4 linked regions of the Saccharomyces cerevisiae S288C genome follow. Changing the gene in region 4 together with the main gene of any one other region gives a genetic interaction. Each region holds a gene or a part of one and is shown on either strand. Other genes may lie near its edges. The genes, in order: FAR8, PAU3, FRE2 and GPI12.

What was found.
Region 1: mutations in GPI12 (region 4) and FAR8 together harm fitness more than expected from each alone (negative genetic interaction), as found in Saccharomyces cerevisiae (one large-scale study listed by BioGRID).
Region 2: mutations in GPI12 (region 4) and PAU3 together harm fitness more than expected from each alone (negative genetic interaction), as found in Saccharomyces cerevisiae (one large-scale study listed by BioGRID).
Region 3: mutations in GPI12 (region 4) and FRE2 together harm fitness more than expected from each alone (negative genetic interaction), as found in Saccharomyces cerevisiae (one large-scale study listed by BioGRID).

The regions. Positions count from the first base shown.
Region 1 is NC_001145.3:327,865-332,234, forward strand, and holds FAR8 (Far8p), read right to left. Parts: upstream 2,368-4,370; coding exon 796-2,367; downstream 1-795. Other genes in the region: TAP42 (Tap42p), read left to right, coding at 1-718; RSF1 (Rsf1p), read left to right, coding at 2,929-4,059; EIS1 (Eis1p), read right to left, coding at 4,348-4,370. UniProt on the Saccharomyces cerevisiae protein: Participates in the control of the reentry into the cell cycle following pheromone treatment.
Region 2 is NC_001135.5:305,742-308,871, reverse strand, and holds PAU3 (seripauperin PAU3), read right to left. Parts: upstream 1,072-3,130; coding exon 697-1,071; downstream 1-696.
Region 3 is NC_001143.9:8,370-12,986, forward strand, and holds FRE2 (ferric/cupric-chelate reductase), read right to left. Parts: upstream 2,858-4,617; coding exon 722-2,857; downstream 1-721. UniProt on the Saccharomyces cerevisiae protein: Metalloreductase responsible for reducing extracellular iron and copper prior to import. Catalyzes the reductive uptake of Fe(3+)-salts and Fe(3+) bound to catecholate or hydroxamate siderophores.
Region 4 is NC_001145.3:830,441-833,867, reverse strand, and holds GPI12 (N-acetylglucosaminylphosphatidylinositol deacetylase), read right to left. Parts: upstream 1,530-3,427; coding exon 615-1,529; downstream 1-614. Other genes in the region: AEP2 (Aep2p), read left to right, coding at 1-512; DNA-binding transcription factor CAT8, read left to right, coding at 2,539-3,427. UniProt on the Saccharomyces cerevisiae protein: Involved in the second step of GPI biosynthesis. De-N-acetylation of N-acetylglucosaminyl-phosphatidylinositol.

The sequences.
Region 1 (4,370 bases), 500 kb from region 4:
TGGTGAAAAACTAGGTAACTTCAAGGATCGTTATAACCCTCAGCTTAGCGAATTGTACGCGCAACCAAAAAATAACAAAGATTTATCTGGAGCACAGTTGAAGAGAAAAGAAAAGATTGAGCTATTCCAGCGCAATAAAGAAATTAGCACAAAACTGCACTGCTTGGAGTTGGAATTAAAAAACAACGACGAGGACCACGACCATGATGAATTACTAAGAGAACTATATTTGATGAGGTTACATCACTTTAGTCTTGATACGATTAACAACATTGAACAGAATTTATTTGAATGTGAAATGCTCTCTAATTTCCTCAAAAATTCCGTACATGAAGTCAAATCATCAGGTACTCAGATACGAAAAGAATCGAATGATGATGATTCCACTGGTTTTACCGATAAATTAGAGAATATAAATAAGCCATTGATAGACAAAAAAGGTCAAGTCTTGAGGAACTTCACGCTTGTCGACAAAAGGCAACAACTGCAACAAAAAGTGCGAGGATATGGTCAATATGGACCAACAATGTCGGTGGAGGAATTTTTAGATAAAGAGTTTGAAGAAGGTCGCGTTCTTCAAGGTGGCGAAGAACCAGAGCAAGCACCAGATGAAGAAAACATGGACTGGCAAGATAGAGAAACCTATAAAGCTCGTGAGTGGGACGAGTTCAAGGAAAGTCATGCTAAGGGAAGCGGAAATACCATGAATAGAGGATAGAAAAAAATACCTATATACGTACACATAAGTATCTATTAGACAGATTCATATATTATTTTTTTTTCTGCCTACATCAGTTATATTTTAATCTTGTGCAAAAGGACTTCGTTATTTTTATTCACGGTGATTAACACCGGCGTAGAATCTACAATCAGATTTGAAGAAAATACCACAGGCTCTTTTCTTTCCGAGAAGTTGATGTCTGCTACGACAAATTCGTCGATGGATGGTTTTAGGTTTTCTAAATTCCTAAACTCAAAGTCTCCATTACTATATGATACGGTGATTATGCTGTCGTTCAAATCGAGTTGTATTGGTAGTGTTGACGATGGAGTCAATTGTTCCTTCAGTACAACTTTTTTCTTATCAAAAGAATAAACCAATAATCTCTCATTGCTTAGCTGAATCAGTAGCTTAGAAGTTTTTCTATCCAAAAATAAATGGTAACCTTCTTCTTCTGGCTTACCCGATAATATTGTATCAATCTTCAAATCAATTTTTTGTAGAAGCTTACCCTCGAAATCATATATGGTAAGCTGGTATGGATTTGAAGACAGTAATATTAAGGATTTTTCTGTTATACCCAATATACAATCCAGAATGTTTGTGGAATCATTACTATCATCGTCATCATTATCATGTGTTATTTCATATGTTTCTTTTATGTTAATTGGGACATCCTCAGGAGCCTCTATATTGTCCAATTCCCAGATTCTAATTTGAGATTTATTCTTACTAGCTATCAACAACCATTTATTTTTGAAGTCTATATTAATGATATCACTAGACGAAAACGGCTGTTCTGAGTCTTGTAATAGGTCCACATCTGAGATCAAAGATGCGCTAGAAATAGAGAACAATTTCAAATGGAAACTCTTTTCAATAACAAGGAGTTTGGACGTCGAAACCCAGAAAAATTTCATAATGTCGCTATCTTGCCCTAAAGATATTTTCTTTAAGAGTTTGGAATTCAAGTTTGCGTCCACTTGGTGTATTTCTAACGATTTGGTGTCTGCATCATAAAGTGCCATACAGTCCCCGTAGGAGCTGATAATGTCGACTTTCGACAATTCCGAGTGTATCTTGGATATTGTTTCATTATTTTCACGCTTGTTGGCTGTGCTAAACAAAGATTTCACTTTGGTTGGTGATGGTGACTCTGAAGGACCTTGCTTTGGATTGGGTTTGGTGTCCAAGAGGGCATTATTTAAAATATCCATCCCATTTGTCTTCGCACTGCCCTCTTCCTTGGGAGTATTCACGTTCAGTTTCTCTAAATCGTGCAATTCAGAACCCGCTTCTCTGCTATTTAATGACTCTAACTGATTGACCGTGTTAGGGCCTTTCAACAAATAAATTATTTCCTTCACATTTTCTTGAACAGCTAGCTTAGACTGCAGTAATGAATCAGGCACATGTTTTTCTTCCTTTTCACCTTCAGGAGAAACAGCTTTCGATTGTATTTGATTCAATTGATGCTTCAAATCTCTATTTTCGCCCTCTAGTTCTGCAATTCTTGCTTTCATTTCCGACCTTTCTAGCTCCCAGGTGATTCTATCTCTTTCATTCTTCGTGAACTCCGTTTGCAAGTAGTGCATTACACCAGGTAACGTGTAATGCGGATGAACATGTGCCTGGTTAATAGCCATATTGTTTTCCGGTCTAACTACACGCACTTACTTCTTTTGGGTTTCTTTATTAATGTTGTTGCTTGCTCCTCACATTTAGTCGTTCTAGGTGGCTTTTATCTAAGATTACGCGACGGGGAAGATCGCAAAGTTAAGACCAATAGAGTACTATACCATATCCCAACAAAGAAGCCTAGGGGATGGTGCAGCAGTAAAAACTGAATAGACTATAATAGATCATCCTACGTAAAACCCGAATAGGTTATCTCTTAAACCTTGTTTTCCTGTAAAGTTGTCCCGCGCATGTGAAGACGCAGAGAGTGGAGATCAATCTTAAAACAACTGAAGCAACTAGCACTTTCTTGACATTTAATAAGGAACTATTATCGCGTAAACCAAAAGAAACGCATGTAAAACATCTGCAAGTTACTCCATCATCTGACACCTAGAGACGTACGTATCAGAACGATTTGAGTGGAGGGGTACAAAAAGGGACTCTGTAGATCAAAAACTGTAATATTATCCTTTTTTTTACTTTCTGAGAAGCTATTCGAAAACAAGGAGATAGAACTACAAGCAGTTATGAAGGACCTAAATCCAGAAATGGGGAAATTTGCTACCACTAAAGGCCCTCCTCAAGACAATAGAGGCATGGTTGATATAGCGACACTGCCTAATTTTCCTGCCAACCGTAGTGGGACTCCTCGTGAGGAGATGTATCTGGCGCCCAACAAGATGGAAACTCCAAGGATACTTAATATGAATATGGTACCGGATTATTTGCAAAAAGAGAACTTCTCGCCAGATTTTTCTTCTGCTACCGTATCTGCCAAGTCATCTCCTGTCAACGTTACTCATGATGAGTCGCTTCCTCTGGGAACTATTGAATCGAATAGCACAAAGGATTCTAAATATGCAGTTCAACGGCAACAGCAACAAGTGGTAGATTTCATAGAGAATAATATGCAGCTACTGTCTTCAGAAACACTAAATTTTAGATCAGACATTATGAAAACTTTGGAGCTTCCCATTCCCAAGAGAAGAGATATTAAGGGAAACCATCTATCTAAACTATTATTTGCTAAATCACCTCTAACTATCAACACATATTGCCAATTTTATGACCGTAGAACCAAGCGAATTTGCAATCAAGAAATGATATGGAAAGATAAGAACAGTAGAGAGAAGCATGGTTCTAGAAAGTATCAAAGACATTTGAGTAAAGTTCACGATGTCCAGCTAACACCAAATAATTTTACCGAATTTTTTGATCATAATTCTCCACTTTTCCAGGAATGCTATGACTATCAATCTAGATTGATGCGTGATTTACTTGTTGAACCAGATGCCAAATTCAAAGAGAAGAAAAAGAAGAAAAAAGGGGACGTCAACGGAAATCATCCTGAAACCGGATCGAGCCTCATCAACCACCAGGTCCAACAGCAAAATGTTCGAGAACTTCAATCGAAAATAGCCATGAACGACTTGATAGAGATTCTTATCGATTTAAACATTCCGTTTTCTGTTTTAGACTACCAACCAATGAGAAATTGGCTCATCAAATATTCAATAATTTCAACAGATACTTTGCCGGATGAAGTATACTTCAAAACTGATCCAGGCGTGAATGAACTGGAACACAACAGTAGTAATTTAAACAATAGCAATAGCGGTACTCCTCATAATCATAATCAAAACCAACATACCAATTAATTAAAACTTGCTTTTAATCTGCATACATAAAACTTAGATCAAATAAATAAAAAAAAAAGTAAAACAACCATATATACTATTTCATAAGCAAAAGTAATCAAATTAAACAAAAAAAAGAAAATACAAATATTAAATTTAAATTAAGGCAATAAACATATATTATACACATAAAAAGAATAATTAAAGCGCAGATGAGAACTATCTTAATTATCAAAATTCTGTAGTATCCCACTCAACTGTTCAATATCTTAGCCGCACCATTTCTTCGTTATCTAGGCTCACTAGCAATTATTTTTTCTCTTGATTACTAA
Region 2 (3,130 bases), on a different chromosome or scaffold from region 4:
CTCAGCCGACCCGCATTAAATGACATTGGGATTATTGCAAATGTTCGCCCTTCAACTCTTCCTTGCTTAACTGATAATTGAATCAAACCATTTCCACTCCACCCCTGAGAAAATTGCAACAAATAACACCGCCTTATCCTACAAATCTTTAGTTATTACCTCCTTAACACTATCCTTACTTTAACACTTACTCCATTTTCTGACTAATAAAAACATATACACACATAAGTAGGCACAGAAATGCAAATATTCGTATAACAGGAGACGAAAATTCAATATGGTTACTCTGACTTGTCGCTCGCATAGTCCCTGATCTACAGCATTAATCCAAAAAGAGACATGTGTGTAAACAACTCCGGGCCAACACACTGAAAAATAAAGAAATCAATTTATTTTCGTGGGAGAAATAAAAGCAACAGAGCCAAACGTATCAAACTTCAGCACTACTCATTAAGAATATATGCAATAATACTGGATAGCACTTTCAACTGCTTCCCCAGAAGGATAGCCTAGAAGAAAGTTTCTTTTCCGTTGTTGATGCACCTAAATAATGTCGTCTTGATCAAATATAGGCTTATAGTATTGATATATGTTTATATAGTCAACTGTATTTATATCAAAAAAAAAAAAAGATTTTTTTTTTATTCTTTCGTTATTTTTCAATGTCTATGGAAGTTCATTAGTAAAGGCATGTCTCTATTTTGGAATAGCAGTGTAGATACCGTCCTTAGATAGAGCACTGGAGATGGCTGGTCTCAATCTAGTGGAGTACCATGGGACACCAGTGATGACTCTGGTGACTTGTTCAGCTGGAATACCAGTCAACATAGTGGTGAAGTCACCATAGTTGAAAACAGCTTCAGCAATCTCAACTGGGTAGGTCTCAGTTGGATGAGCTGCTTGAAACAAGTAGTATTGAGCCAAATGAGCTCTGATATCGGAGACGTAAACACCCAATTCGACCAAGTTGACCCTTTCGTCAGATGGAGATAGAGTGGTAGTGGCTGGGGCAGCGGCAATACCGGCAGCGATGGCGGCAACACCAGCAGCGATTGAAGTTAATTTGACCATTGTATTTGTTTTGTTTGTTAGTGCTGATGTAATCTTAACAAGAAATAGTGAAATGAAAGCGCATACCTCAAAGGCATATAGTTGAAGCAGCTCTATTTATACCCGTTCCTCCATCTGTCATCACTACTTAAACGATTCGTTAACAGACGCTCATTTAGCACCTCACATATCCTCCATATCTCATCTTTCACACAATCTCATTATCTCTATGGAGATGCTCTTGTTTCTGAACGAATCATACATCTTTCATAGGTTTCGTATGTGGAGTATTGTTTTATGGCACTCATGTGTATTCGTATGCGCAGAATGTGGGAATGCCAATTATAGGGGTGCCGGGGTGCCTTGAAAAACCCTTTTACGCGCGCCTGTGAAGTTTCCGCTTTCGGTCAAAAAGAATATCCGAATTTTAGATTTGGACCCTCGTTCAGAAGCTTATTGTCTAAGCCTAAATTCAGTCTGCTTTAAACGGCTTCCGCGGAAGAAATATTTCCATCTCTTGAATTCGTACAACATTAAACGTGTGTTGGGAGTCGTATACTGTTAGGGTCTGCAAATATGTAAACTCTCGGCGAATGCCTTGGTGCAATTACGTAATTGTAGCCGCTGAAGGCGGATGGTATTGAGAGAAGTTGATGTTCAAAGTATCGTGTATGATAAAAATAGAATTGTAACCAGTTCGTAGTAGCAGTATTAAAACTTTGATTCCGAGATGTAATCCCTCTTTTCTAGCCAGATATGAAGGAAAAAAGTGTAAGGGTAGTTGAGAGCGCTACTTTATTTTATTCTATTTTAAAAATGTTCTCTAGGAGAGGTGTATTAATAGTTGGTACTCCATGTAGCTTCTAAGTCAAAAGAAATGTCTCTATCTTTATGGTAACGGTTCATCGTTAGAGCTCAATTGTGCTTCTTGGATGTATTTCCAAAGTCCCACGTTTAATAACCCACACAACATAAATGTCCTTGAATATAAAAAATTTCGAAAGCTCCCCGTAAAGAATGCTTGATAATCAGCTCCATCAAAGAAATACTTTTTGTTCTTCCAAACTTTTCCTCTCAGCAAATACATATTTATTTCCTTTGCAACCACTTTCTAGAGAATTCATAATAGTTGATAAAAAAGGCATTTTGTCTTCTATGTTCATAATTTCAATTCTTGAATTTTGGAAATCGTGAAATGTTTCGAGAAACCGCCTTCAATAATTAGAAAACAAAATAAAAGATTACAGTTAGGCCACTCAAAAATACAATTCAGATAAGAAAGGTGCGATAGTGGGGAATAAGAATTGGAAATCCGCTTGATAATCAGGGAAAACTTAAAGAACGGGGTGTTAAAAGTCTGTGAAGTATAGATCAAACTCGCACTAGCTAGCAATACTCATGAGAACCTAGGTGAGTGTAAAGCAGTGAACCTTCTTTAGAAAGCAGAGAAAAATCCTCCAAGTTAACAGTCTTCCATACTTACTCAGTATGGATCAAGTTCCACAGTTTGTCCACTTCTGTAGAATAAACTTGTAGTGCTTTTCCGATGAAAAGGGATAGAGTCTTTAAAAGACTTGATCTTGGCATTTTTATCCTCCTTCAAGCAGAATGGCTCCAGTAGAGTTGTTCTGAACGCTTCTGGGCAGTGAGCAGCATTGAAGAAAAAGTACTCAGCATTCCAAGCTTTGTCTTCATATAATTATAAATTAAAACTCATAGCCACCAATTTCCAGGTTTTGGTCGCAATATGCTGCAGAATCAATGGCTTGTTTCGTTACTATACTGGTCCGACGGAGTTTACTTTACTCTAAATTTGCTGAAATAGCAAGGCCACACGCCATACAATTAACAATAGTTCATTCAGTTGAAAGGTTTCCGAGATAGAAAGTGCGGTAGTAGAGAAGAACAATAAACGTATCAAACTTTGCGCAGTCATGGAATTTCCAGGAAACATTTTTAGGTTTTCATATGACAGCAGTTCCTGTCCGAGAGCTGTGCCTTTCTTGTCTCAGCTGACTAAGATGTCTCGGATCCGCCCGGCTGGCGCGCGGCTCCGTCTAGTGGGATAGGCTTTCAACAC
Region 3 (4,617 bases), on a different chromosome or scaffold from region 4:
TTGGCGTCGCGAAAATATTAATAGAACCATATGTTGGATAATGTAGCCTCTATTATACACTTATCCCGATTACATTGTTTTAGCGACGGTAATCATCTTTTTATCCGGCACTCTGAATCAAACTCTATCTTTAAGTATCCTATATGCATGAGTTATGTCGATTATATCGAAGACTCGGTGTGTGATATTACTCCACAGTACAAAAACAGGAATACAGAGAAAATTGAAAAGATATATGAACGGATGGTATGGTAAATAAAATAACAGCCATTATAAAGCTTGTGGTAAATTTTCCAGGACGGAAGTTAGCTTATGCAGTTTTGTTTATCTTCCTTGCATCTGTGTATAATACTGAAACACGCAATTAACGTTTCATAAAATTTGCCTGAGGGCCGTATAAAAATTCAGTGACCATTGTTCACACTTTAAATATAGCCAAATTGCCAAGAAAGGGTTTCATTGCAGGTTTATCGAAATATTAACTCTTTAAATACAGGGACTATACAGAGCTAACTTCTTAAGAAAAAAAACCATGCGACACACTACGACTTTCACAAATTCCATAAAAGAGATATTTAAGATTTAGATAAAATATCAAAGGACTGCTGTACTCTGCTTCAATTACCTCCTTACCATAAAGTTATAGGCAGCTTTCTCCATCGACATACTAAAATTTGGATAGGTATTATTAATGAAATGACTAGTTTTAAGTAAAAAATGATCACCAGCATTGATACTCTTCAAAGTACTCAATGGCTTTTGCAGACTTATCTAAAACTATTTTTGCGGTTTCATTCCTCACTTTGTCAACAAAAATAGGAGGTCCACAGCAAACCACAGATAATGAGCCACTCAATTCAGCCGCTTCATGTAGAAGTTCCTTAACATTTGGTCGCCCGCAATGGAAAACAACACCATCAAAACCAAGTGGATTGGCAGACTTTTCTAAAGTAGTTGCCACAACAGTGCCTTTTTCATCAGCCTTCTCATCCTGTTGAGAAATATCTAAACTATCACTAGGGGTTAATGATGGGACTTCCATTGTGTTGTAGATGTGAAGCTGTACATTCAGATTTTCTAAACACATCAACTCCGGCTTATAAGCCTCGAGTACGTCGAATCCTCTAACTGCAATCACTAATTTTACAGATTGTTTTCCAGCAGCCGCTGACGTCTTTCCAAGTTTAATTGCATGTGCAATAGGTCCAGGCAAACCGGTACCTCCAGTGAGTAACAATACATTATTGTAATTATTGACCGGAGATGAAGAACCATATGGACCTTCTATAGCTAGTCTCATAGATGTCTTACCTCCATTGCGACACACATACTTTTTGACAAGTCTTGTTACTCCCTTTTTTTCTTTCAGGATAATAACCAGTTCACCATTCTTGCTTACTGAATCCAAAACAGTAAATGGATGTGACTGCCAGAAGTACAGTGGATGTAAAAACGAAACGAAAACATATTGCCCAGGTTTGGCCCTCCATGGCCTTGCCGGTTTTTTAACTGTTAAACGAATGAGATCATCCCCGATTAGTTGTAGGGAAGCTTTGGGGAAACCAAAATAAGAAGCTTTGATAATTCTAATAATCCGGTCAACGATCCAAATCGCAATAGCAGTGTATATCCACTCAATGCCACTTAAACTAACAACATGCTCCCAACATGCATAAAAGAACATTGCACCAAGGACGATATGAAGAAAAAGAAAGGCTTCATAAAAATACTTCCTGAATACTGCAAAGGAAAAGAAAACCATTGTGCCAGCTAAACAAAGTGCTGCCACCCCGAATTGCCAATATAATCGGTTTTTACTTGTTGCCCAAGTTTTATTCGCTACCGTATAACTAGTATATGCAGAGCCATGAATCATAGCATCCAAAAACATCATTCTTCCCAACCATTTGTGAAACATAATGAAGGAAGTATATTTAACCCCAGAAATATACTCGAGAAAGTTGTTTCTTCCCGCGAAAAGAACTATTAATGGAAAGTGTGCGAATGCGAGTACACCACTTCTGTCTGCCACATATCGAGCAACTTGAACTCTACGAGACTTGAATATTATATTTTCAGGATCGTATTCATAACCGTATGCCAAAAAAACGGTATGAAGCACGAGATATCCAAGAATAATGATACCCTCTAATCTTGTAGGTAAATATCCTGTGAATATTCTAAAATAAGAGAAATCTGACGCATGTTTGCTTCCAATGGTAGGTAGAGTGAGGTATCCCCTTACATATCCCACAAGCTTTTGCTTCAATAGAACAGTTTTAAAGGGAGTGTAATTCATGCAATGAAGAACGCCTGCAAAAGCCATGATAGCGACAAAATAAGCACATATAATGCCACCATATATGTTTCCGACATCTAAGTTAGCATAGAAACCATGCAATGCATGATAGTAGGCTTTTCTTAACTGTGTATCCATTTCAACTGGATATGTTAGGTTTGCACTGCCTTTGACATAGGGCGTCATATGCCTCGTTCCGTTGTTTAGAACGTCATAAAACTCAGAATTAGTCATGTTCTGAAGAGCATCACTATAACTTGCACAGTTTTTTTTGATGGTACTAAATGTTTTTTCTAAGGTTTTATTCGAATAACCTTTTTCATCCAACGTTTCATAGATACAATACAGCATTGATTGAAACGCTGGTTCGTAAGAACATACTGGTGATGAACGCTTAGACTTGCTGGTATACTCCCAAGTAACTTTTTGAAAAATCCTCGTGCAGGCATTAGTGACAAGCAAGGGCACCTTGTTACGAATAACTGTCTTTGCAGGTGATGCTCTTGCTCCTGACAGGCAGAAAAGCAAAATAGCGCTCAAGATGGACGTCCAATGCATTATATTCGTTGGGTTTCATAAGCTTTGGATAAAAAAGACTTTATTACAACTGTAGCAAAAAATCATGTTCATTTTTTGCGACTTATATATTTAGTGGCAAATTAATGATACCTTGCAATAACCGAATTTAGAGTATGTTGTCCAAGAAAGGAGGGATTTTGTTCATCAGAAAAGAATTCAGAAAAGCAAGGAAACAGTACTATCGTTTAGAATGTAGAATGATAGGTTGCTTGCTAATTCTATTATGGCACGAATGATACACCCATATTTTCAACAAAATCAATACCCACTAGCATCATTGAGCCAACTATTTGTCAATGCAACCATTACCGGTACTTCATCCTGATTTAACGAGTCTACTTTTTTATCACGTCAAAATTTACTTGTTTTCCTGTAAACCCGAAATAAAGGCAAAAAAGACCTGGGTGCAATTACGAATAAATGTACAATAATCATCCTGTTTGCATAGTAAACTTCCAGTTAGAGTCACACAACGCAATGAATTTTGACAGTTTTCTGTGCGATATTCTTTGGTAAACGTAAAGAACAGGCAACTTTTGGTACAATGGATTCTAGCCCATATGGTTCATTTCTGGTGCATTCGCAAAGTCAGTATTTGTCTAGCTGTGTTTTCTGGCTGAGAGACATTATGATGTTATTCATTGTTATGGATATCTCTGTAGCTCATGCTGCTTATTTCTCCCTAAAAAAGTTTTTTCTCTCGAATACATTCTTGACCATTTCATAGTGAAATTCTTGTACTTATTTAAAACCAAAAATGGAAGTATTCATACATCCCCCTATCAAAAACACTCAATAAGTTTCGAATTATTCGTTCGTCTAAACAGTGTCCAATACTCAAAGGGGTATTCAAGACGGCACAAAATCAGCATCTTCCCTTATCCGTGTTCCAGAAATACCACGCTAAGGTTTTTCCTCCTACAATCCATAAAATCATTAAGGAGGCAGCTTGAAAAATCTTGAAATTCAAAAGAGTTATCTTGGGCTAATCGAAATTAACGATAACCAGAGTAGAATATTCAAGATCACAGCTCCACCTTAGTTTCGAGGTTGCTCTCAATGGTCTAGCTTAGTCATGCTTTTTGTTAAACAAATCTTGCCTTTTCTGATATTCTATAGTGTGGTCCAATCCAGATATTGGCGCATCCTAAACCAATTATAGTTCACTTATGAAGGGCAAATGAACACTCTTACCAGTTTCACAAATAATTAGTACTAGCTAGGCGGTCAAACTGACTAGCTTATTATAATATTATCGATGTAACATTTTTCCATAGTGAGGGAGGAAAATAAACCTTAAAAAAATATGCAAGGATTCTAGATTTCAGGCTAGTCTTCAACCACTTTGCACTTCCGGATTAAAGGCTTTTATAGAAAACATCTTGGTTTGGGACTATATTGCTAGGTGAAAATTTCAAAATTGTACAAAAGATCATTCTTGTTTTTTTGCCTCATTAGCTGATACAATGCGGAACTACATGGCGCTCTTTTATAAGCATCTACTATGGTACATTCTAAGTATGTGGATCTTGGTTAACACATAGACATTTTTTAACTTCTTGATATCGGTTCCGCTAAATTTGCTGATTATATTTGTTCACTAGGCCAGATCATAATGCCTGTAATATTGAGTACTTAATATCGATACTTGATATCCGAACAGTAAACGTTTGTCCGTAGTCATCGTGACTGTTGACGTATTAACTGCAAGAAATGATGGAAAAAATTTAGGTATATTT
Region 4 (3,427 bases):
TTCAGCTAAGTCATTTTGCTTGGACACCAGCAAACGACAAGAAAGCCACTTCTGTTGTTAGATGTTGGCATTTAATGAAGCAGTGGTATGCATCTAAGCGGCTAAGGCCTTCAGTTGATTATGAGACGTTGAGACAACTGTACGATATCATGAAGAAAACAGGCAATTTCCCGCTTGGAATTGATGTTTTAAGGAGTTTCAAACCGGGGATCGAAAGAACGAGAGCAGAAAATGCTGGAAAAGTTAACAATATCATTATCAAATACCAAAAATGTATTATTAAGGAGCTTGTAAATAGAGGTAGATTTTCAGCGGTAAGGGAATTCATTGATAGTTATGGTTTTGATAGAAAAATGACCAAAGATTTGAATATTTTTTGTGCGAATCGTATGTTTCTAAGAAGTAAGAAAATGAAAAACAAGATTGAGAACAAAAAGGAAAGGGAGAAAGTGCGGCTAGATAGTTTCGATGACGATGAAGATGATGGTATGATTATAGGTAGCCTTTGGTAAGAAAAGTGTAAGTAGAATTAGCATTTATTTTTCTCCATATTCTTATTCTATAGGATGTAAATAATATGGGACTTTTTTATATATATATCTACAGTGTAGAGTCTAATATGTATAAACATCAAATTCATTAACGAAGACAAATCTGGAAAATATCCACCATCCGTATCTAAACCACACAACTTGGGATTCGTGAGCATTTAGCATAGTGGCAAACGCTAGTACGTATTGTGCATGTGTATTCATAAGTGAAAGCTTGTCTTTTTCGGCGGCTGTGTTAGGCGGAAGCGCCTGAATTATTCTACGGAATGGAGAAATCAGGTCGTAAAGTATTTTTAGGATTTCCCAAATAAAGGAGTTGTACTTTAAAACGATGTTGTTCTTGTAGCTTCTCAAATAAAGCGCAGTGACATGAGGTGGTTGTTCATTTCTTTTGGTCTTAGGTTGAGCATAATCATCCACCAACTTTTTAACGGCAGCATAACAGCTTTTGTGGTTGATATGATTTGATACACCATATGAATCAAAGGTAACGATAATCTGGTTCAAGTTATGATTCTTTATATCTATCTTTTGTGAAAGAGAAGAAGTTATAGAATCAATATCCCATATTTCGTCCATACCATCCTGGAAATCCATCACCTGTACGGAGACTGCTCTTTCATTGTGTAGCAATAAAGCGGCCGACTCATTTAATTCTCTTACCCTGGTTTCGCCAAGACCTTCGGCGTTGCCCTTTGATAAGCAGATTATGTTAAATGGGACGGTTCTCGGAAAGTACGAATTCAGTTGAGAAATTATGGGGGAAAAAAACATAACTTCGTCGTCAGGGTGCGCTATGACCAAATTGATTTCATAATCGCCATATTTATGAGGAAAAATATGCTGCAATGATGCATTGTTTCGGGAGACGATTTTGGGCGTAAAATAAATATATAGGATCGTCAGTACTATTGCTAGTTTAGTAATCTTGTAAAGCAATTTTGAAAAATTTACCTTTGTACGCCTCAACATCTTCATTTAACTTTTCTTCAGGGTTTGAAAGAATCTAATATACGGCTCTAGCGTCACCTATCTACACTTAACAATTCGATAAATAAGGAGGGCAATGCAAGATTATAAATAAAAGCGCAGCGTCGATTTTCCTTTTTCTATGACGTTAACGTAACTAGTAAACCTTCTAGAAGGGACGACTCCAATGAGATAGAAACGGCGAAGCGGGAATTTAGGAGTACTTGTTACCCGGCTACTAGTTTATTTCATACAAACACATTGACACATTCGCACATATACATCTACGAGAAATTACTGAATGTGAAAAGGATCAGAGGCAGTTAAAAGAGGTAACAACTTTTATCATCAGATTGTGATACGACTTATACTATTGAATGTGTATGATTACACAACTTTCCTTCTGCAGAACATTTTTACATCTGTTAAGATGGTGCAACATTTCTTTTTATTAGCACATTACTTTTGATGAAAGAGTATATTCAGTTATCGTAGCTCCTCTCACTTCTTTCTATCCGGTGTTTATTCGCGATATGAGTTGTGATATCAGAGACAGAGAGAGTTTATGTGCGTAACAGGAACGGAGAAAACCAGAGTAATTGAGTATTATAAGCAATAAATCATAAAAAGACATTCTTTCTCGTGCAATTTTTTGGTATTCGGGATAATCTTCTACTTGAAACTTCTTTTTTTCGGTGTTTAATTTGCCTATTGGTAAATATTTTTGCCGCCGAGGTTCTCAGTGATTATATTCGTATTAAGCGATAACCGAGACATGCATGGAGCGGCGGGGCTGATATTTTGTGGGGTACGAAAGCATGATTGGTCAGTGACACTCAAAAAAAGAAAACAGCCGTAAAATAGTAGATTTTGTTAAACTCCCCTTTAAACCTGTGATATTGTAAAAAGACGAAGAATTTAATAATTTAATAATTCATTACGGTATTTATTTCTTCATAAACAGTTACAACACCCTAAAGAGAATTTACAAGTTGAGTAAAAGACAAGACACAAAATTATGGCAAATAATAATTCTGATCGACAAGGTTTGGAACCCAGAGTCATTAGAACTCTGGGTTCACAAGCGCTTAGCGGTCCTAGCATATCTAATAGAACTTCAAGTTCGGAGGCAAACCCTCATTTTTCCAAGAACGTGAAGGAAGCAATGATCAAGACAGCTTCTCCGACTCCTTTATCTACACCTATTTACAGGATAGCTCAAGCTTGTGACAGGTGTCGATCTAAGAAAACAAGGTGCGATGGAAAAAGACCACAGTGTTCGCAGTGTGCTGCTGTCGGATTTGAATGCAGAATAAGCGATAAATTACTGAGGAAAGCGTATCCAAAAGGGTACACAGAAAGCCTGGAAGAAAGAGTACGCGAACTGGAGGCAGAGAATAAGCGTTTGCTAGCTTTGTGTGATATCAAAGAACAGCAAATAAGCCTTGTTTCACAGTCGCGACCACAGACATCAACGGATAATACCATAAATGGCAATTTCAAACATGATTTGAAAGATGCTCCATTGAATCTGTCTTCTACAAATATCTATTTATTAAATCAAACGGTTAATAAGCAGCTACAAAATGGCAAAATGGATGGTGATAATAGCGGTTCTGCAATGAGTCCATTGGGGGCACCACCTCCACCGCCACACAAAGACCATCTTTGTGACGGCGTTTCCTGTACAAATCATTTACACGTCAAGCCTACTTCTACGAGTTTAAACGATCCAACCGCTATATCTTTTGAACAGGACGAGGCACCTGGTCTTCCTGCGGTAAAGGCATTAAAATCAATGACGACTCATCAACGTAGCACTCAATTGGCAACTTTAGTTTCTTTATCCATCCCAAGATCTACTGAAGAAATTCTGTTTATTCCTCAGCTTTTAACTAGGATAAGAC